7 linked regions of the Macaca fascicularis genome follow. The protein of the gene in region 2 interacts with the protein of the main gene of each other region in a pairwise test. Links are inferred from orthologs where the notes say so. Each region holds a gene or a part of one and is shown on either strand. Other genes may lie near its edges.

Region 1 (3,500 bases), on a different chromosome or scaffold from region 2:
AAGCTGCAAGGGCACAGAAGGCTACAGCACTACCCAGAGGAAAGGTTGTACCTATGTGCCTAAGAATGAAGACAACACAAGGGAAGCAGATCTGAGACCACATAGATGCCTTTCATATCCTTTGAGCTCCTGGATACAGCCACACCTGAAGCCTTTGTTGATTTTTTTTTTTTTTTTTTTGAGACGGAGTCTTGCTCTATCGCCCAGGCTGGAGTGCAGTGGTGTGACCTTGGCTCACTGCAACCTCAGCCTCCCGGGTTCAAGCGATTCTCCTGCCTCACCCTCCTGAGTGGCTGGGACTACAGGCGTGGGCCACCACACCCAGCTAATTTTTCGTATTTTTAGTAGAAATGGGGTTTCACCATGTTAGCCAGGCTGGTCTCGATCTCCCGACCTCGTGACCGCCATGCCTCAGCCTCCCAAAATGCTGGGATTACATGCGTCGGCCACCGTGCACGGCCATTGATTTTTCGTTTCTTTCCACCTAACAGTTACCTAATTTTGAAGTCTTTAAAAAGTGGCATTCTTGCCACTTACACATAAATATACACTGAATATAAACTGACAAGGATGTGGACTGAGAGAAGCATAGCAGGTGACCAGAAGGGAAGGCAGAGGCATAGAAAGGGGTCGAAGCTGGGGTGGGACAGTAGACAGCAGCAGTACTCACTGGACCAGATGGGAGGCCAGGACTTCCTTGCAGATGGGCTGCTCGGCCAGCGTCAGCCAGAACTCACAGGCCTCAAGGGCAACGTTCTCGTCATGGTCCTGGGTCCTCTGCAGCATGTACTGTGATAGCGGGGAGAAGCTGAGGCCTGGCCTGGGTAGGGGTGGCTCCCTGACCCTTGCCACCGGCCCCTTGCCTGCCTTCCTGGGCTGGCCTCGACCATGCACACCTGGATGATGCTGTGCATGTGGGGGATGAGCCTGTCGATCCGCACTTCCAGAAGCATCACCAGGGCGCGGCACACATTCTTCCGCACCTCGGGGTCATCATCCACGGCCAGGGCAAATAGGTGCTGCAGGGAGGAAAAGGGTCAGCTGTAGGGGCCCTTGGTCCTCACCCTGTCCACCCCCAGCCCAGCGTCCCACCTCAATGAAGGTGTCAATATTGTCCATCAGCGCCTGAGCCCGGTCCATGATGAACTGGTTCACGCAGGCGATGGCGTGGGACCTGGCGGGGAGCAGACACACGGGTCACCCTGAACCTGCCCACTCCAGGCTCCCTGAAGCCCCCAGAGAGCTGCACCCACCGGATCTTGGGACTGCAGTGCTTGAAGAACTGCAGGAACTTGGGGATCATGATGTTGAGGGGCCTGTTGAGCGCGTCACTGTCCAGAAGCTCTGATGAGTCTTCGCAGATCTTCTGCAGGGCTCCAAAGGCTCCCTGAGTGCAGAGGGGCAGAGAGACAAAGGTGGGTGGTGGGTGGTGGTCCCAGCCCCCCATACCCGCTCCGGCCATCTATGGCTTCTCGCCTACCTCACAAGTGTTGTAATCCTCCGAGTTGAGCAGGTTGCAGAGCTGGGGCAGCAGCTCGGGCCACATCTGCAGCTCACCCTTGGAAGCGATGGTGGTGATGAGAATGCCTGGGGCGGCCAGGAAAGGACGCTGCCTGAGGCCGGGCGGGGGCTGCCCAGCACCTCCCCTCCCACTGGGCACCCCCAGTGCTGCCTTTCTGTCCCCTAGCCCATGTATGCCCTCCACATCCCCCCCCTTTTTTTTTTTTTTTTGAGACGGAGTCTCACTCTGTCGCCCAGGTTGGAGTGCAGCGGCCGGATCTCAGCTCACTGCAAGCTCCGCCTCCTGGGTTCATGCCATTCTCCTGCCTCAGCCTCCCGAGTAGCTGGGACTACAGGCGCCCGCCACCTCGCCCAGCTAGTTTTTTGTATTTTTTAGTAGAGACGGGGTTTCACCATGTTAGCCAGGATGGTCTCGATCTCCTGACCTCGTGATCCGCCCGTCTCGGCCTCCCAAAGTGCTGGAATTACAGGCTTGAGCCACCGCGCCCGGCCTGTTTTTTTTTTTTTTTTTTTAAGAGATAGAGTTTGCTCTGCTGCCCAGGCTGGACTGCTGTGGCACAATCATAGTTCCCAGCAGCCTCGAACTCCTGGCCTCAAGCCATCTTCCCGCCTCAGCCTCCTGAGTCGCTGGGACTGCAGGCACATGCCACCATGCCCAACTAATTTTTAACATTTTTTGTAGAGATGGGATCTCACTATGTTGCCCAGGCTGGCCTGAAACTCGTGGCCTCAAGCAATCCTCCTGCCTCGGCCTCCAAAAGCACTGAGATTACAGGCGTGAGCCACCGCTCCTGGCCTTGACATAGGTAGAAGGGTACTCCTTGACTCAGTAAGCACCCTGAACCTTACTGTGAGTCAACTCTGTTCCAGGCCCTAAAGCACAGCACAGAGCAAAACACAAAATCGTCACCCTTGGGAGCTGGAAGTAAGCTACGAAGTAAAGATAAATTAGCAAAAAAACTGGGACGGGCCGTGCATAGCTGGCTCATGCCTGTAATCCCAGCATTTTAGGGGATCTAGGTGGGTGGATCACTTGAGGTCAGGAGTTCGACACCAGCCTGGCCAACATGGCAAAACCCCGTCTCTACTAAAAATACAAAAATTAGCTGGCTGTGGTGGGGGGCACCAGTAATCCCAGCTACTCGGGAGGCTGAGGCAGGAGAACTGCTTGAACTTGGGAGGCGGAGGTTGCAGTGAGCGGAGATCGCGCCACGGCACTCCAGCCCGGGACGGAGCAAGACTCCATTTCAAAAACCAAAAACAAAAACAAACAACTGGGAGGGGCCACATGCCAAGGACTAAAGGGGAGAAATATAGCAGAAAAGATGGTGAGAAAGGGCTGTAGGTGAAGCTAGCAACTTTAAATTGGGTGGCCAGAGCAGGCCTCATTGAGGTGACATCTTGATATCGAGGCAAGACCTGAAGGAGGTGAAGCAGGCAAGGGAGGAATCATCCAGGTCTCTGGGAAAAGGGCATCTCAGGCAGAGGACTCTATGGTGCGAAGGCCTGGCGTAAGGACAGGCATGATGTGCTAACAGATAGGTAAGGAGCCACTGGGGCTGGGCAGAGAGTGGGAGGGGAGAGAGGGAAAGGAGGTAAGGCAGGAAGGTGGCAGGGATGCTTGTACTGCCTATTAGACATCCAGGAGTCACATACAGCAGGCATCTGAGGTGCCAGGACAGTGCACGTATCTGGTGACAGAGCTGGATATGGGTTCTGTTAAGTGCAGAGATGGTTATTTACTGCCACAAGATGGCACTGTTTCCCAAGGGTGGAAACTGTCCATGACAGAAAGGTGCTCCCTGCAGTGGGTAGGTATAGTGAGGACCGTGGAACCTTAGCCACATCTCCTCACTCTCTGCACCTCAGCGCTTCCAGCCCTCAGAAGAGATAAAGAAAACCAGCCTCGGACACGCGCGGTGGCTCACGCCTGTAATCCCAGCACTTTGGGAGGCCGAGACGGGCGGATCACGAGGTCA
Region 2 (3,016 bases):
GAAAATCTTAAAGGGCTGCATTGTTGCTAAACACTGTCAATATTTCTTATATGCACTATTTAGACTATACCTCACTTTTTTTACTTCCCTTATAATATTAAAATAATGAATAAATATGGTCCTTTAGTTAAGGTCCTCCACCTTAAGTGAAATATAAAATAAGGTAGTTTTATCAATTTCTTACTAGAATTGGCTTAAAATCTATTTACCAAATAAGAAATAGTAAACTTTTAAGTTTTACCCAGAAAGCAGAAGTATTCTGATCCACTCCTAATGTCTACATAAAATATTTCATCATTTTAGTTCAGTTTATGACATTTTTTGGACTAGTACTAATGTTGTCCCTCAGAAAAAAATCCAATCAACCAACTACAGAAAGTAAACTTAATTGTTAACCTTTTGAAAGAGGCAAAAAAATTATTTATGAAAACCTAAAATAACCTGATTAACAATTGATGCTGAAAAGGTCATTAAAAACTGAGGAATAATAAATGTAGTTTTCCTGTATTTTGCCCATTATTAATGGAAAACAGAATGGCAAAATTTCTAAATGGAATATGTTAAAGGTACAAGAACCGAAAACACTGGTAACATTTCCTTTGCCTTCTGACAGCAACATTTTCTAGGATGAAAACAGTGACATGTAGTTTTAAAGAATCTGAAATTTCTACATTCAAGAATGGAATTAAAATTCAACATAAGGGGAAAAAAGCAAAATATAGTTAGTGGTATCCAAACTTTAAATAAAACCTCAAAGGTAAGTATGGCTGCTGTTTTGTTCCAGTCACTGTTTCACAAAATGTTGGCTGTGTCATAAGGTATCTCCTGTGCTTTCTATCAACCGAGGCCTGCTGAAGTACAAGAAATTCCTCTGTAAAGGAACTGACATTGAATTCCTTTGTAAATTCAATCTCAGCTGAAGTGTCGAGCAAGGCGGGCAGATCTATAATCAGCACGAAGTTGTACGAAGGAGTGAAGTATATTCTTGTCCAGATTAGCAAGTTGTTCTCCTGAGCAGACTTGCTTTAAATTATCTGGGGCAACTACCAGAAGATTGCAAAGAGCATGCAGAGTATCAAAAAGATGTAATACCATTGGAATCTGAATTGAGAGAAGAAAGAAAGTAACATTGAAACAAAACAGTTTCCAGTTTTACAATTAGCTTCTAACTTCTTACATACTGTCAGGTGGGACTTACTAGTGTGCGTGGAGTTCAACATATTAGAATTTTTTTAAAGATCACAAAGCATTAAAACTTAAAGATTTCGTAGTTAAATAAACTTACTATAATATTTCAAAAAGATTCATATGTCAATTCTCTTCAATGTAACAATCATATATACTTCAGTGGACTAAAACTAGTTATTAATATATAGCATTTTTCATAATTTAAATGTTACAGAAAAATTCAGAGGGACATAAATGAAGACAACGTTATTTTCCTAATGTGTGACATATACAGCATTAGTCATGGATGTCAATAAGTCAAAGACTGTGGAACTGAAAATACACCGTGAAGCAAAAATGTGTTTAATATTAAATATGTGGGCCACGTGTGGTGGCTCATTCCTGTAAACCCAGCACTTTGGGAGGCTGAGGCAGCGGATCACTTGGGCCCAGGAGAGACCAGCCTGGGCAACACTGTGAAACCCTGTCTCTGGAAAATAAAATAAAATTTAAAATTTAAAATTAAAAGAAAATGACTGGAACAACACTGTTTCAGGTAGAATGTGTTAATCTATCTCATACAATATCAACAAAAGTTATAAACCTTTCACTAATTGTAAGTAAATAGTGATTTTTAATGATCTGACTTATGTTCCTGGGCCTATTTGCAAGATTGATGTTTTTGTGTATACATACCTTGAAGTCTTTGGCACACTTCCTATATTCAGCTACATCACAAATTGCCAACATGCCACCCATACAACTGTAGGAATATTGTTGAAGATGCTCATAGATAAGTCGATGAAAACGTACTCCAAGTTCCATCAAAACTGTATCCACATTCTTCCCATCCATGGAATTTTTAATCTTCTCCACTTGTTTTCTTACGTAAGCACAGACTTTTACACAAGCCTATAAAAGTTTTTCTACACTCATTACACAGAAATGTATACCAGCTTAGCTAAAGAGGAAATACATAAGTTTCTCATTAATCTGTAAGTATAAAAGAAAAAAATCTAGGGCACAGTAGGATACACCAATGAAAATGTTAGCAAAGTATTAACAAATTGAATCATTTTACTCACATTAGTATATTGAATCAAAACATTGTTTTCATCTTCTGGCTTAAAATCTGTTTTCTTTTGTTCTGCAGCCAAAATATGCTTCATCTGTCCAATCATACAATTTAATGTCCTAGAGAATTGAGAACACAACATTCTTTAACTCATCTAACTTATTCTATGTTTATATTTAATTATATTATTTATGCTAAATTAAATCAGTTATTTAATATCCTATCACCATAAAACTCTTTCACTATTGGTAAACTTTAGATATTAGAAAAAGTCAGCTCTAGATCTTAATATGAAAGAGCTCTTGGTTTTATTATCTTTCTGCTCAAAACAGAGGGCAAAAATTCTTTGTGCAATACTTCAAGATTCAAAGATCTCAGAAGCCTGTCACTAGTTTAATTTCTTAACAACTAAGGATCTTCAAAGGCAAAAACCACATACAAGTTAACTATCCCTTTCTCAAAATTCTTGGGACCAGAAGTGTTTTGGATTTTGAAATTTTTCAGATTTTGGAATATTTGTATATACATAATAAGATACCTTGGGGATGGGACCCATTCTAAACACAAAATTCATCTATGTTTCATATACATCTTATACATGTAGACTGAGAGTAATTTTATAAAATATTTTAATAGTTTTATACATGAAACATTTATGTTCACTGAGCCATCAGAAAGCAAAGATGTCACTATCTCAGACACCCATGTGGACAATCCATGGCTGTCTGGCATCACCATCATTCCTGACTCTGAATTTATATGCTACCAGTAAGC
Region 3 (3,453 bases), on a different chromosome or scaffold from region 2:
GCATGTTTGGAGAGATTTCATTTCTGTTTGGAGTATCCTCTCTGTTATCACAGAAATGACATATCTCAGTCGTCATGGTGTGTATTAACATACAGTATTTTAATGATTGCATATAACACATGTAGTTGTCCAAATACGATTTGTAGAAAGGGCTTTCGGTACATGTATGTATGTATGCTTTCCACAGAAAATAGTTTTCCGGCCGGGCATGGTGGCTAACACCTGTAATCCCAGCACTTTGGGAAGCCAAGGCAGGCAGATCATGAGGTCAGGCAATCGAGACCATCCTGGCCAACATGGTGAAACCCTGTCTCTACTAAAAATACAAAAATTAGCAGGGCGTGGTGGTGTGCTCCTGTAGTCCCAGCTACTTGGGAGGCTGAAGCAGGAGAATCACTTCAACCCGGCAGGCAGAGGTTGCAGTGAGCTGAAATCACACCACTGCACTCCAGTCTGGTGACACAGACTCTGTCTCAAAAAAAAAAAAAAAAAGAAAAGGAAAAGAAAATAGTTTTCCATGTTCTCTTAGCTCAGTGTTCTGGTAATCTTTTACTAGATGACAATGGTTAAGTTGAAGACATCATGGCAGTTAACTAAAGATTAACAAAAGGTCAGTATATAATGTCTTGTCTTTTGTAGAAAACTGTGGTTCTCCAATAAAGTTATCAATTGCCTCTTAGGGGAGAGAATGTAGAAGATGCCTTCCTTGAGGCTGCCAAGAAAATATATCAGAACATTCAGGATGGAAGCTTGGATCTGAATGCTGCTGAGTCTGGTGTACAACACAAACCTTCAGCCCCGCAGGGAGGCCGGCTAACCAGTGAACCCCAACCCCAGAGAGAAGGCTGTGGCTGCTAGTGACCTCTTTGCCGTGGCCCCTCATTTGACCTTTCACCTCTGTCTGTTGAAAGCAGTACTTTTTACTGCCTCATTGTCTTCTGTACATCTTACTGGGTTTAATTAAAAAAAAAGAAAAAACAAAAATCTGTTGTAAAAACAGTTTAACACAATACTAAACTGCTAAACAACTAGATGTAATCAGGTTATCAAAGGCAAGTAGAGTAATAAATCTCTCCTGCATGGTAAATCTAGACTTTTTTTCCCCCTTGTCCTCGTGATAAGTATGTCACCAATATATGATTTAAACTGAGCACTGATGCTGGACTTCATGATTTTTTACCCTCCCTCTTTGGCAAGGCTTTGTCTCACTGTACGGTTTAATTTGATGATATCTTAAGCCTTTCTACCCATCCTTAACTGTTCAAGTATGTCTGTTGTAACCAATAAGTTTATTGCTGTGAAATGACTTCTGATGGTAGAGAAGGGGTTCTATAACTGCTTTTGTTTTGTTTTGGATAAATTTCCTGTTGTGTGGGTGGCATTTTTCTTGACGAGGTTTGCTTCTCTCTTAGCCTCGCACAGGGAAAATATCCATTTATCTTATCTCTCGTGCTTAATTAATAGCTTTATCTTTTTTTATACCATTTTATCCTTTTCTCTTTAACAGAAAGTAAATATGTATAAAATTTGAAGGAATCGAACTAACAATACATTCTGTGTATATTATTTTAATGAAGAAAATAAATTGATTACTGGCATTGGAACAGTATAAAATACCAGTTTGTACAGTATGACCTATATGTGACCATGTTACTCCCTTCCATTTCACACAAAGAAATAGACACACTGCAGTTCACAAGTAGTACTGGCTCCACCCCTTGGTGCTGGCAGTGTTTGGGGACATTATGCTGGAAAAAGCTCCTAGCATCAGAGGATTAACACTAGCAGATTCTGTTCCATCTTTGCACTGTTGCTTACCTGCTGATTTTCTTAACTGTTCTTGTGCAATCGACAATGTGCTAACCTGCTTTTCTCTTTTTGTAAACGTTTTTGCATTACAGGCTGCATTCTTGCCTTACTGTATAGGAAAAGAAAAAAGGCTGGGTTTATTATTGCACATTTTAAGCTTTTATACCTTTATCGTCTTGGAATGGTCAGATTCTGAACTGGACAGTCAGAACCACAGGTCTGCTGTTAAGGGATTTTAAATTGTGCATTTTTAACACTACAGTGAAATAAGATATCCCTGTGTTCATAGTATGAGGGGCTGTTTTATGTCATGTTGGCATAAATTGTTTCATAAAAGGGAAAGTGTTTCTAAAGGTGTTTCAGTGCTTGTGCTGATACAAAGTAAGTTATTACTTTGCACTAGGTGGTTTGGCCACTGAATTAATACTGTATAGCAAGAGAAACAATCTTATTTCTTTGTACAACAAACATGTTTAAGTTCTTCATTTCTGTTGATTTTTCTTACTGTGTTTGATTCAGTGGCTGGGAATTGAGAGTTTATTTGAAGTAGAATAGGTAACACCTCAGCGCACTATAGAAAATGCACTCAGCTCAACTGCTGTGTTTAAAATACACATTTTAAATCCCTCTTTACAGACACTAACATAAAAGTACATCTTTTTGGGTTGTAAACATGTGGTAGTACCAGAGTATTGTATAGTCAATGTTAAATAAAAGCCAAAACTGGAATGTGCAGAAAATAGGCTTTGGTTAATTTGTGGATTCATTTTTATTTTTGTCTTTAACTTTTTAAAAAATAGGATTTCTGGAGTAGATTGGTATGTTCTGTTAAAGACTACAGTGATCCATTTTGCTTACACTGTTGCATCACAAGGGATTCACCCAGGGACCATGACCTGCTGGTGTGTGTGTATATTTACAAAAACAAAACAAACAAACCACCCATTGGGATATAAGGTGGCAATCACAAACGAAAGACTGCGGCTTGTTGAGGTGCAATACCCTGACTCCCAAAGTTAGTTACAGTGGGTTTTATTGTTTTTGTGACCGAAGGATTTATTCAGACTGCTGTACTCTTCATTTGATGTAACAAAATGCTATTAATCTAAATATTTGTAAATAAAGTACCTGTATCTAGATTAAAGTTGGTTGCATTATTTTCTGAACTATAATAGGGTTTATTTTCTTCAGGTGAACAAGTTGATGTGTCATCAGTTTTTATTGCAGCACTGTCTGTATTTGTTGTATAAAGAGAGGTCTACATATGTAGCATATAAAACCACATCACTAATAGAGCCACAGTTTTATTCTTGTGTTTGCATCACCCTTGAAATGTTTTCAGTCAACCATTTTCAGTGTAAGATCAGCACATTTGCTGGCTGATGCTGTTCTCCCTTGACTGTACTGGGAGCCAGATTCTATCATACGCATGTGTAATCCCCTGTAATAAACTCGGGTGCTCACAAATAGAGCAGACTGTCATATTGTAACATGTGTGTGCCAGACACTGGGCAGTACACTTTGGAAAGAATGTGAAATCCTTTTAATTTTTAATCCATAGCTTACTGCTTGTGCAGTCACCTGCTTCTCGAGGTTACTCATTGCCCTTGGACCTGTGAGGAGGCCCTCAGATTAGTAATTGGT
Region 4 (2,665 bases), on a different chromosome or scaffold from region 2:
GTCTTTGTAATACAATATATACTTCAATATACCCAATATACCTTAAATGAATTAAAAACATGTCAACTTGATAACTGTAGTAAGGCATTTAAGTATTCAGCAGAAGCCATAAAGAAATTTCTTAATGAGTGGTGTCCTTTTCATATTAACTGGATTTAGCAGGTTTCCTTAAAATGAACAGGAAACAAAAGATATGAAAAACAGGCAGTGATGCCATTCTACTGAATTCCAGAAAAAGCACAGTACAAACAATGTGTTTTCTAGCAGGGAGACCAGACAGACCAGCAAACTGGAAATGGATGAGCGGCCCCAGCTTGCATGGTCTATTGTATTTTATCCACCGCTGAGAGAAGTGTTAGTAGCCCGGTAGGTTTGCGTAAAGGTACCAGAATCCTTAGTGCTAGTCTCATAGCCTAAAACAGAGCAGGTACTCCAGATATACTTCCTGAACTGACCTGGATGAAGAGGCTTTAAAATCAACAGAGCTGGACAGTATAAAGTTCACGGAAAAACTCCATTTTTCATTTTATTGTTTTTGGTATGTTAGTGAATGTCTACTGATCTAGTATTTCAAGTGTGGATCACGTAAACACCATGTAGAATGTAGTAAACAGAATTAAATAAGAAACACACTGGCTATCAATGCCAGAGTCTTTGAATATCAGGTCATAAATATAACCAATTGTGCAATATAACCAACATGATGAGAAGAGCACACCTCACAACTGACAATTTTAGTTCATATGATTAAAAAAAATAAAATCTGAAACTGCATTTAGTGCCACATTCTATCATATCATACATCAGATTCCATGCTGCGGAGCCGCACTGGGCTACAGGACATACAGTACATAGCATGTTTATAGCATGTTTATAGCATGTTTTAAACCGAAAGTGAAAGGGAAAATATGAAACAGAAAATTTTTACATACACATCTAACGGTGTTGTCCATTTAATTCGATTTATATGATTTGCTGTGCCACTTTGACCAGCTTGCAGAACACCCCAAATTCTCTTTTCCCCATAAAGATCTACTTCCATATAGAGTAGAAAAGGATGGTGGTAAAAAAACTTCAGGTTCTTCAGGTTCCAACGATTGTGTCCCAAATGCCACTGTATGAACACCTAAAAAATAATAAGAACAATGTCAAAATCTGCACAATTATAAATGCAAAAGTAAATACAGCTTAAAGCCTAAAAGAGAATTTGTGAATATCTCGTCTTTCAATACTTGTCTGTGTCTACTACATGATGTCGACTATAAATAAAATGTCCACTGTGGTAAATGGGAAAAAAGAAGAAGCTTTAAAAAGTTCAAGGGAGACATTTGTCAATTTCATAAATGGGTCTCCTGTTTTAGCAAAAGGCACATTCCTTTAGACCTCAATCAATCCAGGAAAGGCTCCTCACTGACATAAGGAATCAGGATATCTCACCCTCTCCCGTCAACCACCACCTGCCCTTCCTTTCTTTCTGAACAAGAACATGAGAATTTCCTATAGGGTGTAAATTCTTTCAGTTAGAACATCCAACTTTAACTTATGGGATAGTCTCCTTCTCTTTTTTTTTTTTTTTCCTGAGACTGTCTCACTTTATCACCCAGGCTGGAGTGCAGTGGTGCGATCTTGGCTTACTGCAACCTCTGCCTCCCAGGCTCAAGCAATTCTCCTAAGTTTCATGAGTAGCTGGGACTACAGGTGCATGCCACTATGCCTGGCTAATTTTTTGTATTTTGTAGAGATGGTGTTTCACCATGATGCCTAGGCTGGTCTCAAACTCCTGAACTAAAGCGACTGGCCCACCTCAGCCTCCCACAGTGCTGGAATTAGAGCCACTGGACCTGGCTGGGATCCTCTCTTTTTCATACTGCAGCTTCCCAAAGCTTTCACAGGCCTCTGCACTTCAGCTTGTCAGGAACTCAGGGCAGTGAGGTGTCCGAACCCACCTGTGCGCTCTCCCATGGCTCCTAACAACCACACTCCTGAGCATTCGGGGCCTGTGCGCGCCGCGGTGACCTCAGCTGTCTCAAGGCAGCATCTCCGTACTGAATACCCGAGCCCATTCTTTCTGGGTCCAGCTCACCTAAGGACCAAGCAAGTCTTCTTTAAAAAAAAGTTTTATGTTTCTGAGATCCCAAAAATAGATTAAAAAAAAAAAAAAAAAAAAAAAGCAAAGTACGGAACCCTGTGTATATATCCCACCACTCTGAATAAAGAGGAAAAAACAATTTACATGTTTGCTTGCACTGGCACAAAACGTCTCTAGCACGATACATAAGGAACGGCTGATTCGGAGGAGTTCTAGATGGCCGGGGACAGGAGGGGGTGGTAACAGCAGGACTTTCCACTGCATACTCTTTTATACTTCTTGAATTTCAAATTATGTGAATATATTATTTATATAAAATAATTTAAAATTAAATTACAAAGATACAATTTTTCACTTATCGGATGGGCCAAAAGTCCAAGTATGATGATACTACACACTGTGGACGTGGCTTTAGTGAAATAAGCCCATCACTAGGAGAAAATGTGACCACCTCTACACCAAGATCCCAAATGCTTATGTTCTCTGACCCAGCAATTCCACTTCTGCGTATCTGTCTGACACACAGACTCATGCACATGAAAAAAAAATATATATATATATATATATAAAAGTATT
Region 5 (3,500 bases), on a different chromosome or scaffold from region 2:
TGCCCTCAGCCACCTGCCAGGCGATGTCCAGCAGCTCCGAAACGGGCAGGACTTTCTTGTCAGAATCTGCAGAGGGGAGGGGAGCCTGGGGTCAGCTGAGCCAGCTGCGGTAGGGACGGGGTGGGGAGGCTGGGCTGTGTCTCATCTGCCTCCAGGCTCTGCGGCCTCAGAGGAGGGGCCGGGGCAAAGGGCAGCTGGCCTGGTTGAAAATTGGAACTGCAGGTCAGCCACCGCCCTTGTGGAAGGCAACTGTGTGTCAAGAACCAAGGAGCAAGCCAGGTGTGGAGGCTCACGCCTGTAATCCCAGCACTTTGGGAGGCTGAGGCGGGTGGATCATGAGGTCAGGAGGTTGAGACCATCCTGGTGAACACGGTGAAACTCCATCTGTACTAAAAATACAAAAAATGAGCCGGGCGTGGTGGTGGCGCCTGTAGTCCCATCTACTCGGGAGGCTGAGGCGGGAGAATGGTGTGAACCTGGGAGGCGGAGCTTGCAGTGAGCCGAGACCGCGCCACTGCATTCCAGCCTGGATGACAGAGTGAGTCTCAGAAAAAAAAAAAAAAAAAGAACCAAGGAGTGGTTCCTAGTGGCCTAGCCCAGCGATTTCCTTTCTGGAAGTTTGCTATGACGCGGGAGAAGCTCGACGCGGAAGGACCAGCGAAGAAGCTCATGACTGCGTGATGTAGGCGGCGGGAACTTGAGCAGGATAATGGCTGAGTGACAGCAGCATGCGGCCTGGTGGTGCCTGTTAACCCCCCGTTCCGTCCCGGAGGACCCTGAAGGGCGTGGGGACTGTCTGAGATGATCACGGAGCCTTTCACTCAGAGCTCAAACGTGAGTGGCACCTCAATGTAGCTCTCCTCAGACACACACGGCATTTTTCCTCCACCACAACGTTCCCTCCCATTCTAACATTGGAATCCAAACTGCGTCTTCACGCACGGGCATCTCAATTCCCTGCAGCGATTGTCTTTGATTTTGGTGATAAAGGAAATAATGGAACTTAGAGACGATGAAGTCTTTGAGCCAATGTGATCTGTGTGTGTGTGTGTGTGTGTCTGTGTGTGTCTGTGTGTGTGTGTCCGTGTGTGTGTGTCCGTGTGTGTCCGTGTGTGTGTGTCCGTGTGTGTGTGTGCCTGGTGTGTCTGTGTGTGTGTGTCTGTGTGTGTGTGTGTGTGTGTGTGTGTGTGTGCCTGGTGTGTCCATGTGATCTGTGTCTGTGTGTCTGTGTGTGTGTGTCCGTGTGATCTGTGTGTCTTGTTTGTGTGTCTGTGTGTGCATGTGTGTGCATGTGTGTCTGTCTGCATGTGTGTCTGTGTGTATGTGTGTGTGTCTGTGTGTGCCTGGTGTGTCCGTGTGATCTGTGTCTGTGTGTCTGTGTGTGTCCGTGTGATCTGTGTGTCGTTTGTGTGTCTGTGTGTGCATGTGTGTGCATGTGTGTCTATGCATGTGTGTCTGTGTGTGTGCGTGTGTCTGTGTCTGTGTGCATGTGTGTCTGTGTGTGTGCGTGTGTCTGTGTCTGTGTGCATGTGTGTCTGTGTGTGTGCATGTGTCTCTGTGTGTGTGCGCGTTTGTCTATGTGTCTGCGTGTGTGTGTCTGTGTGTGTGTGTGTGTGTGTGTGCGTGCAGACGTGGGGGTGTGTGTGCACTTTATTTCCTCGTGCACCCCCTTTACCTCCAGCGAGAGCCCCGGCCCGTGCCACTCACCACGAAGCAGCTCCAGCAGGCTGCCCTTGCCCATGAGCTCCGTGATGATGTACACAGGGTCCCCCACGGACACCACGGCGTACAGTGCCAGGATGTGTTTGTGCCGCAGCTTCTTCATGGCCTGGATCTCCGACTGCAGCGTCTGCTGGTGCAGGAGGTTGTCTGCGGGGATGGGTGGCCTTGGCAGGTGCAGCCCCTGACCCTCCCCTGGCCCCAAGGAAGAGGCCAAGGCAAGGCTCTGCCCACACACTCAGCAGCTGTGCAGAACACCGGACCTCCTGCCCCCGACAGGGCACCTGGCTCCTGAGGCCACAAAATGGCGGACACAGCCGGCCCCACAAGCCACCAGCCTGGCGTACCCATGGGGCCGTGGTGGCCCCCCAATGTCTTCCTGCGCCCGGCCCAGACCTCTGACGTGGAGGCCAGACCTCTGCTGGGGCCCAGGCAATTTCCAGGGAAGCTTTTCTTTTTGAGAGGGTGTCTCGCTCTGTCACCCAGGCTGGAGTGAGTGGGCGCCATCTCGGCTCACTGCAAGCTCCGCCTCCCGGGTTCACGCCATTCTCCTGCCTCAGCCTCCCGAGTAGCTGGGATTACAGGCGCCCGCCACCTCGCCCGGCTAGTTTTTTTGTATTTTTAATAGAGACAGGGTTTCCCCATGTTGGCCAGGCTGGTCTCAAACTCCTGACCTCATGATTTGCCCACCTCGGCCTCCCAAAGTGCTGGGATTACAGGTGTGAGCCACTGTGCCAGGCCTGAAATTTTCTTTTACAATAAATGTATTTAGGTAAAAACAGGTGCAGTTGAAAGGGAACCACTCCTGCATGGGTGCTGTGGGTGCTGCGTGGGGCTCGAGGCCAGAGGTCCCTGTTGGCGGGGCGGGAGGGTGGCCCAGGGCGGGCACGGGGCCACACAGAGCCCTGACCGGGGCTCACTCACCTCGAGAAATCACCTTAATGGCCACCTGGACCCGGTCTTTCCAGAGCCCCTCGAAGACCTCCCCAAAGTAGCCAGACCCCAGCTTCCTGCAGAGCGTGAACTCCTCCCTCGGCCTCTCCCAGTCATCCCAGTGGGGCAGAGGCTCAGGCTCACGCTGGAGGGAGAGTCGGGGACACAGGGCAGAGGCTCAGGCTCATGCTGGAGGGAGAGTCGGGGACACAGGGCAGGGGCTCAGGCTCACGCTGGAGGGAGAGTCGGGGACACAGGGCAGGGGCTCAGGCTCACGCTGGAGGGAGAGTCGGGGACACAGGGCAGGGGCTCAGGCTCACGCTGGAGGGAGAGTCGGGGACACAGGGCAGAGGCTCAGGCTCATGCTGGAGGGAGAGTCGGGGACACAGGGCAGGGGCTCAGGCTCACGCTGGAGGGAGAGTCGGGGACACAGGGCAGGGGCTCAGGCTCATGCTGGAGGGAGAGTCGGGGACACAGGGCAGAGGTTCAGGCTCACGCCGGAGGGAGAGTCGGGGACACAGGGCAGAGGCTCAGGCTCATGCTGGAGGGAGAGTCGGGGACACAGGGCAGGGGCTCAGGCTCATGCTGGAGGGAGAGTCGGGGACACAGGGCAGGGGCTCAGGCTCATGCTGGAGGGAGAGTCGGGGACACAGGGCAGGGGCTCATCCTTCAGGAACTGCCAGTCTGAAGCCAGCGCAGGGAGCCTGGATTTAGCCTCAGATTTAGAGCCACGTTCAGCTTGGGTTGGGGGTTTCTGAGTGTCTGACACGAGGCTGGACTCTCCCGGTGGCTGCCCCAAGCCCAGCACAAAACACCCGGAGAGACTGAAGCCAGGACCCTGCAGAGTG
Region 6 (3,500 bases), on a different chromosome or scaffold from region 2:
GGTATTTAAATTCTTCCTTTAAAATCTGTTCCATCAGGCTGAGGTTGCAGTGAGCCAAGATCATGCTACTGCACTCCAGCCTAGGCGAAAGAGCAAGACTCTTGTCTCAGAAAAAGAAAGAATCAGTGTTCCATCTGTTTGGGCATCTTCCTCTTTCTCTAGGTTTTTTCACCTCCCTCCTTCCCTTGCCAGTTGAAATGGCCGCATTAAGGAAGGAGCTACTATCAACAAATGCTGAAAGGCAGGCCTATAGTCGAGTCTTCATTCTAGACCTCATTGAATAGAGCCAGAGGTTTGTTGGACTGAACTAGTCTTAGGTCTGAACCTACGACTTGTGAGAATATTCAAGACAGTTTATTTAATTAGTTAGAGAGTTTCCTACTAACTACTTGTGAGCATTTTGCTTAATGCTCCACATGTATTTGTTGACATTAGCCAGTGTGAATTCTAACTTAAGCATGGTCTTGTATGGTATTCAGTCTTTCTCAAGTTGTGTGAGGAGCAGGCAGTAGGCTGACAGTCCTTTCCTATCATATTGTCTTCTATTCTTACTGAAAACTTACCAGTGTCAGTTAGAAATACAAGCAAGCGGCCAGGCGCGGTGGCTCAAGCCTGTAATCCCAGCACTTTGGGAGGCCGAGATGGGCGGATCGCAAGGTCAGGAGATCGAGACCATCCTGGCTAACCTGGTGAAACCCCGTCTCTACTAAAAAAAAATACAAAACACTAGCCGGGCGAGGTGGCGGGCGCCTGTAGTCCCAGCTATTCGGGAGGCTGAGGCAGGAGAATGGCGTGAACCCAGGAGGCGGACCTTGCAGTGAGCTGAGATCCGGCCACTGCACTCCAGCCTGGGCGACAGAGCAAGACTCCATCTCAAAAAAAAAAAAAAAAAAAGAAATACAAGCAAGCTTTTGGAAAGTTGTTAAGTATAGCACAACCACTGAGCTGCATGTGCATATCTTGTCAGAAAAGAAAGCATAGATGGCGTTTTCTATCAAGAGAGGACAGCTTAAAATACTTAAATGATAAAATAACTTTCAGATGATTCATTAAGGAACATCTTAATTAAACCAAATAACGCTAGAACTGTATATTTTTAGGGATAACAACAAACCAATTAATGTGCTAACTGGAATTGACTATTGGTTGGACAACTTGATATGCAATGTACCAGAGCTTGTGATGTGTTTTCATGTAAACGGAATTGTACAGGTAAGATACAGTGTGATTTTTGTAACCTCTCAAACGCAAATTGGTACAGAGAGTTCCTCACCAAAGTCTTTATGGCCTTAAAGTACTAAGGTACATTTTTGGCAGGGAAGATAGCTGTGAATAAACTGAATTTGAGTGTACATTTAAGTTGGTGATAACAGAATTCTAGATGTTCTAGAAGTGTAATTTTACAGGTAATTTGGAGGAAGTTCATAAATGTATGAAAACCTGCATTTGTAGCCATAGAAGTCTAATTTTAATGCCAAGCACTCATTAATAATTAACTGAAAGTGTCTATACAATGGAGGCGTTTCTTCATTATGCAAATATCTACTCAGTACACGCAAAGTTTTAGGGAAGGATCTTGTAAAAATTGTGTATGGTAGATAGCTTATATAGCAAATTCTTATTCAGCATATTCTATTTAGAAGACATGTATCCCCATTATAAGTGTTGGGGGAAGCCAGGCATGTTGGCTCATGCATGTAATCCCAGGCTACTCAGGAGACTGAGGCAGGAGGATCACTTGAAGCTGAGAGTTTAAGACCAACCTGGGCAATGTAGTGAGACCCTAACTGTAGAAAAAAAACCCACACACTTAGCTGGGCATGGTGGTGCATGTCTGTAGTCCCAGCTACTTGGGGGCTTGAAGCAGGAGGATCACTGGAGCCCAGGAATTTGAGGCTGCAATGAGTTATGATCGTGCCACTGCACTCCAGTATGAGTGACAGAGCAAGACCCTGTCTCAAAAAAATAAAAAATTTAGAATTTAAACAATAAATAATGGTTGAAGGAAAACAAAGAATAAGTTTGGTTGTTACTCAGAAAGAGATAATCCAATGGGAAATAATATGCAGAGAAAACAGTCGGAGACAGATAAGAACGAGAAGTGTAATACACACACACAAGTCTAGATCATCAGAGGAGGGGCTGAGCACTGACACTGGAAGAAAGACTTGGTGGAAGAAGGGCCATCTTCACTGAGTCCTGATAATAGGTAGTATCCCAAAAAATAAAAGCTGGATTTCAAAAGTCTAGTGTAAATACATGAAAGGATTGATAATAAATCCAGCTGGGGAACACAGGATTTAGGTAGCACAATAGCTGCAAATAAGGTTGGAAAAGTCATGATCAAGTGATGGAGATCTTAAATGTTGAGCTAAGGAGTATGGACTTGGTTCAGTTGGTAATCTGGAATCAGTGAAGGCATCTAGGAGGGGAAATTTGTTGTGTTAGAATATTAATTTAGAGATAGCATATAGGATAGACAAGGAGGACTTAGAGACAAGAAAACCGGAGGCATTGTACCATTTTGCTAATAGTATAATGTACTTCCACTAGAGAGGAACTGTTAAGAATCAACAATGGTAAGAATAGATAGCATTTATTGAGTGCTTATTTGATCCCAGCACTTTGCTGAATGCTTTAAATGCTTTACCTTATTTGATCTTCTTAGCTACCTCACATGCTGTTATTCCTATTTGATGGAAAGAGAGACTGAGGATCAAGGAGCTCAAGTGAGTTGCCCAGGGTCACCTTAGTAGTGAGTGGCGGTGCCAGTCTTTGTGCCTCTCTCTGGCTGAGGACATGCTTTGAACCATTATATTCCAACCCAGTGATTCTTAACCTGGTTGTGCATCAGAATCACTTGTAGCCTCTTTAAAAATGTTCTTGCTTGGGCCCCCAGTGTTCTAGTATCAGTAGGATGTGCACCTCTTGTCTTTTCAGAAAGTCTGGTATATGATTCTGGTTTGCAGTTTTCATTGAAAACCACTGTTAGACCATCTCCCTAAATGGCAACATTTAGTGGGAGGCTGAGGTGGGAGTGGGGAGCAGGAGAAAAGAGACAGGCAGATAAAGCGTTAACAAGGCGGAGGGGAAGAGGAGTCAAAGGGGAATCCAGGGTTTAGGGGCTAGAATAATGGTGGTGTCATTTAGTGAGAGAAGGATGTTGAATTGGTTTAGACAGGGAAGGTAGTATGTTTTTGTCACATGTTCAGTTTGAGGAAAGTATAAAAATGTCTAGTGAGCATTTTGAAGTTGCAGCCATTAGAGAAATAAATTGAAGCATCATCTACCTAGATACTGTCAGATTTCGTCACCTGAGAATCTATTAAAATCAGGCATTGGAGCCTCTCCCCATAGGGGTAAAAATAGAAGGGCATTTAGAGAGAGAGAAGGAGAACAAGAATAGCGCAGATTAAAATATGGGAAAGGAGTGTTTTGAGGAAGGAAATAATCAACATTGGGGACTTCAGTGAACAAAGTGGGGTGAAAATCAACCTCAG
Region 7 (3,500 bases), on a different chromosome or scaffold from region 2:
GGTGGTGGGTGCCTGTAATCCCAGCTACTCAAGAGGCTGAGGCAGGAGAATCGCTTGAACCTGGGAGGCGGAGGTTGCAGGGAGCTGAGATCACGCCACTGCACTTCAGCCCAGGAGACAGTGTGAGATTCCATCTCAAAAAAAAAAAAAAAAAAAAAAAAGAGTCTGTACCCTACTAGGCCAATAATAGTATTAATAATGTCATCATTGTGATAATAATTATGTCATTTATTCAGTGCTTAGTTTGTATCAGGCAATGTGCTAAGTGCTGAACTTTACATACAATATGGCATTTAATTGTCTCAACAATCTTATGCACTAGTTAATAATATATTATAGATGGGAAGCAGAAGCTAAGAGATTAAACCACTTACCCACAGTCACAAGAGCCAAAAGCCTTTTACTTTGAATAGGTTATATTAGGGGGATGATCAACGTCTTTTGTTATCACCAAATTATATTTTAATATTTAATATGTTTTTAAGATTCCAAATACCCTCTCAGGATTTTGATACATCATATTCTGTTCCCTATCCCACCCAAATTTTAAATCTCTGCTTTAAAATGTAACATAACATAGTCAAAGCGGCTCCGTTGGCAACATGCTAAGATTTTATCAAGCACAAAACTGAGCCAACAGCATATGGTCGCAGTGGTTAGGTAAATCAAGAAACTCCTCACAGTAAGCCAAAATGCCATGCTACCATTTTATCTTGTCACGAGGATCAATCCTGCTCCAGAGTGGAGGTTCAGACTAAAGAAGAAAGGAAGGAGTGAAAGCAAAATATCCATACTCTTCAGAGAGATCTCAGATGGGAATGGGCTGCTATACTAGTTGTATATTCCTGGGACTGGTTCTAAGTAAAGCCCAAGGGTAGAATTCCATGTCCTGTTTCTGATGGGACCTCCTAGTGACCAGGAAGTTATCCATACTGAGGTAGAGTTGTAAGTTTCTCTTCACCAAACTAGTCCAGAGGTCAAAAGGTGTGGCGAGCTCTGCATATTTGCAAATCAATTTCTCTATGACCCTTGGCCTTGTCATCCCCACCAGAGCAACAGAGTAGAATTCAGGGGGGCTCAGGCCTCACTCCCAGACCTCAGACCACATGCTGGCACCCCAAGACTTTCTCACAACGCCAGAGGCAAGAATGCGGAGAATTCATCATGATAAATTGCACCAATGTTGTGATTAAAAGTGGTTTTATAGTCACAGAAAGAGCCAAAATACCAAATAATACAACTGCAGCCCCTGTATATTGTATACTGATAGATGATTGTCTGCGCTGTCTAACATAATAAATAGCATCATATCTAATAGTTACCAAATGTAGAAAAATATTGTATGGATCTTTTGGTGTTGACACTGCTGAACTCTGGTGCCTCTACCTTTTGTAGCTACCTTTGTGTGTGTGGTGCAAAGTTGGGGGTGGGCGTGGTTCACCAATTTACAGCTTTAGTATAAAGCTGTAAGTGATGCCAATGCATTTATCCCTCTCTTCTTTTACATCTTAAAACCTGGAGAATGTATATTAATGTGAATTATTTTATTTTGCATTTTTAAGCACCAATAATAAACCAAACTTTCTATGTGTACTTTATTTTTCTTAGCATCTGGACAAAATATTTAAACACAGAGAACTGCAGCAGAAGCTGGTGGATGCAAAGCTTGAGCAGGCCCAAGAAATGATGAAGGAAGCAGAGGAGCGACACAAACGAGAAAAGGAATATGTACTTATCATTTTAGTCATTCTGCATATCTGCTCCAACTCAGTGTCAGAGACACTCTGAGCAAGTTGTTTTGTATTTATTTATTTATTTGAGACAGAGTCTCTGTCGTTCAGGCTAGAATGCAGTGGTGCGATCTCCACTGCAACCTCTGCCTCCCAGGTTCCGGCAATTCTCCTGCCTTAGCCTCCCAAGTAGCTGGGATTACAGGCGCCCACTACCATGCCCGGCTACTTTTTCTGTATTTTTAGTAGAGACATGGTTTCACCCTGTTGGCCAGGCTGGTCTCGAACTCCTGACCTCAGGTGATCCACCCCCATCGGCTTCCCAAAGTGCTGGGATTACAGGCGTGAGCCACCGCGCCCGGCTGCAAGTTGTTTTTATAATGGTCAAAGAGCACTAGACTGATGGAGAAAGAGCCCCAACTTCTATGGAGAACTAAATTAGCCAGCCCAGTCTGAGGCACTGTATCTACACTACTTTCTACATAAAATCGTCATGCATCCATTCCACACATATTTTTCAAGTGCCTGTTATCTGCTAAGGACTGTGTTAGGTGCTGGGACATAGCCGTGAACAAGACAGAGAAGGGCCATCTCCCACTATGGAGATCAGAGTCTAACTGGAAAAAGAAAGGCAATAGACGAGCAAACAAGGAAGGGTCATTACAGACAATAATCACTGCTACTAAGGAAATAAAGAGAAACTGAGAAGGGGCCAAAGAAGGGGATGTACTTTAGATTGAGTGACCAGGAAGGCCTCCTGGAGGGAAGAATGCTTGATTGAGCTAAGCCCTGCCCGATGAGGAGCTGCCACTTGGAGCATCGTCTCCAGCATCTGCAGCAGCAACAAACACCCTAATGCTGGAGCCAGTTTGGTGTGCTCCAGAAACAGGAAAAGGTCAGGGAAGCAAGAGCATGGGGGAAAAGTTCAAAATGAAGCTGGAGAGGTAAGCAGGGGCCAAACTGGGTAGCTTTGTAGGGCGTAAAAAGTCATTTGGATTTCATTCTAAATACAATGGGAAAGTACTGGGTACTTCTGCAAAGGAAGTGATGGCATGATCTACTCTGCATCTGCTAAGATTAATTTGGCTCCTGGATGGAAAATAGACTGCAGAGGGACAAAAGAGCAAGAAGACAATTAGGGGACTACTATAGCAATCAGATGAAATGTGACAATGACCTGGTTTAGGGATATGGCAGCAGAGAAGAGGGTTGGAGATGGATGAAAGTTGTTTTCAATGTGAAATCAACAGGCAGTGCTGCAGACCTGAAGCTGGTGACAAAGAGAAAAGGAGAGAGTCAAGGATGACTCCTAAGTTTTGACCTGAGGAAACTGAGTGGCAGTGTTTATTGATATCTCATTAACTCCAAGCACCCCCTAAAAAGCTGTAAGGCCATTCTACGGATGAGAGAATTGAGGCTCCAAGAAGATACGCAACTTGTAAAGGTCACACGCTGCTGACTGAGCAAGATGTGTTTTGATCTTCTGTGCGTCTGTTCCCAAAGCCCACACTCTCTGTGACGATGCATCACACTCAGATGTGTGTTTCAGAGGTATGAGTTGAGGCATGTATCTGTTGCTGGGGTGAGAGAGAGGTAAAACATAGTCCATGGACCAATTATTCAAATTTGGCCATTTCACATTTTGATCTTGAGCTTTTCATTTACCCAAAATCAGACCAGAATCAATTCAATTGGTTAGAATAGTAATTTTAAAATAACTTTTCAAACATGGCAACAAAAAGACAAATTTTGAGCAATATAATCTGGTGG

The links.
Region 1: the proteins of EXOC5 (region 2) and TNPO2 interact in binary tests that used the Homo sapiens proteins (3 or more experiments, as listed by UniProt). The two-hybrid records come from large-scale screens. The link is inferred for Macaca fascicularis from reciprocal best matches to the Homo sapiens genes EXOC5 and TNPO2.
Region 3: the proteins of EXOC5 (region 2) and RAB14 interact in binary tests that used the Homo sapiens proteins (3 or more experiments, as listed by UniProt). The two-hybrid records come from large-scale screens. The link is inferred for Macaca fascicularis from reciprocal best matches to the Homo sapiens genes EXOC5 and RAB14.
Region 4: the proteins of EXOC5 (region 2) and RAB4A interact in binary tests that used the Homo sapiens proteins (3 or more experiments, as listed by UniProt). The two-hybrid records come from large-scale screens. The link is inferred for Macaca fascicularis from reciprocal best matches to the Homo sapiens genes EXOC5 and RAB4A.
Region 5: the proteins of EXOC5 (region 2) and PTK6 interact in binary tests that used the Homo sapiens proteins (3 or more experiments, as listed by UniProt). The two-hybrid records come from large-scale screens. The link is inferred for Macaca fascicularis from reciprocal best matches to the Homo sapiens genes EXOC5 and PTK6.
Region 6: the proteins of EXOC5 (region 2) and EDRF1 interact in binary tests that used the Homo sapiens proteins (3 or more experiments, as listed by UniProt). The two-hybrid records come from large-scale screens. The link is inferred for Macaca fascicularis from reciprocal best matches to the Homo sapiens genes EXOC5 and EDRF1.
Region 7: the proteins of EXOC5 (region 2) and TXLNB interact in binary tests that used the Homo sapiens proteins (3 or more experiments, as listed by UniProt). The two-hybrid records come from large-scale screens. The link is inferred for Macaca fascicularis from reciprocal best matches to the Homo sapiens genes EXOC5 and TXLNB.

Annotation. Positions count from the first base shown.
Region 1 is NC_088393.1:13,102,777-13,106,276, forward strand, and holds part of TNPO2 (transportin-2), read right to left. Parts: intron 1,588-3,500; coding exon 1,481-1,587; intron 1,388-1,480; coding exon 1,254-1,387; intron 1,175-1,253; coding exon 1,093-1,174; intron 1,020-1,092; coding exon 897-1,019; intron 790-896; coding exon 671-789; intron 1-670. UniProt on the Homo sapiens protein: Probably functions in nuclear protein import as nuclear transport receptor. Serves as receptor for nuclear localization signals (NLS) in cargo substrates.
Region 2 is NC_088381.1:125,050,627-125,053,642, forward strand, and holds part of EXOC5 (exocyst complex component 5), read right to left. Parts: intron 2,362-3,016; coding exon 2,253-2,361; intron 2,080-2,252; coding exon 1,864-2,079; intron 1,102-1,863; coding exon 913-1,101; 3' UTR 1-912. UniProt on the Homo sapiens protein: Component of the exocyst complex involved in the docking of exocytic vesicles with fusion sites on the plasma membrane.
Region 3 is NC_088389.1:36,808,744-36,812,196, forward strand, and holds the end of RAB14 (ras-related protein Rab-14), read left to right. Parts: intron 1-680; coding exon 681-858; 3' UTR 859-2,953; downstream 2,954-3,453.
Region 4 is NC_088375.1:19,804,956-19,807,620, forward strand, and holds the end of RAB4A (ras-related protein Rab-4A), read right to left. Parts: intron 2,084-2,665; coding exon 1,968-2,083; 3' UTR 1,947-1,967; intron 1,127-1,946; 3' UTR 501-1,126; downstream 1-500. UniProt on the Homo sapiens protein: The small GTPases Rab are key regulators of intracellular membrane trafficking, from the formation of transport vesicles to their fusion with membranes.
Region 5 is NC_088384.1:119,662,504-119,666,003, forward strand, and holds part of PTK6 (protein-tyrosine kinase 6), read right to left. Parts: exon of another isoform or gene 3,179-3,500; intron 2,798-3,178; coding exon 2,644-2,797; intron 1,870-2,643; coding exon 1,708-1,869; intron 67-1,707; coding exon 1-66. UniProt on the Homo sapiens protein: Non-receptor tyrosine-protein kinase implicated in the regulation of a variety of signaling pathways that control the differentiation and maintenance of normal epithelia, as well as tumor growth.
Region 6 is NC_088383.1:134,692,555-134,696,054, forward strand, and holds part of EDRF1 (erythroid differentiation-related factor 1), read left to right. Parts: intron 1-1,100; coding exon 1,101-1,212; intron 1,213-2,668; exon of another isoform or gene 2,669-2,696; coding exon of another isoform or gene 2,697-2,729; intron 2,730-3,500. UniProt on the Homo sapiens protein: Transcription factor involved in erythroid differentiation. Involved in transcriptional activation of the globin gene.
Region 7 is NC_088378.1:43,308,908-43,312,407, reverse strand, and holds part of TXLNB (beta-taxilin), read left to right. Parts: intron 1-1,608; coding exon 1,609-1,728; intron 1,729-3,500. UniProt on the Homo sapiens protein: Promotes motor nerve regeneration. May be involved in intracellular vesicle traffic.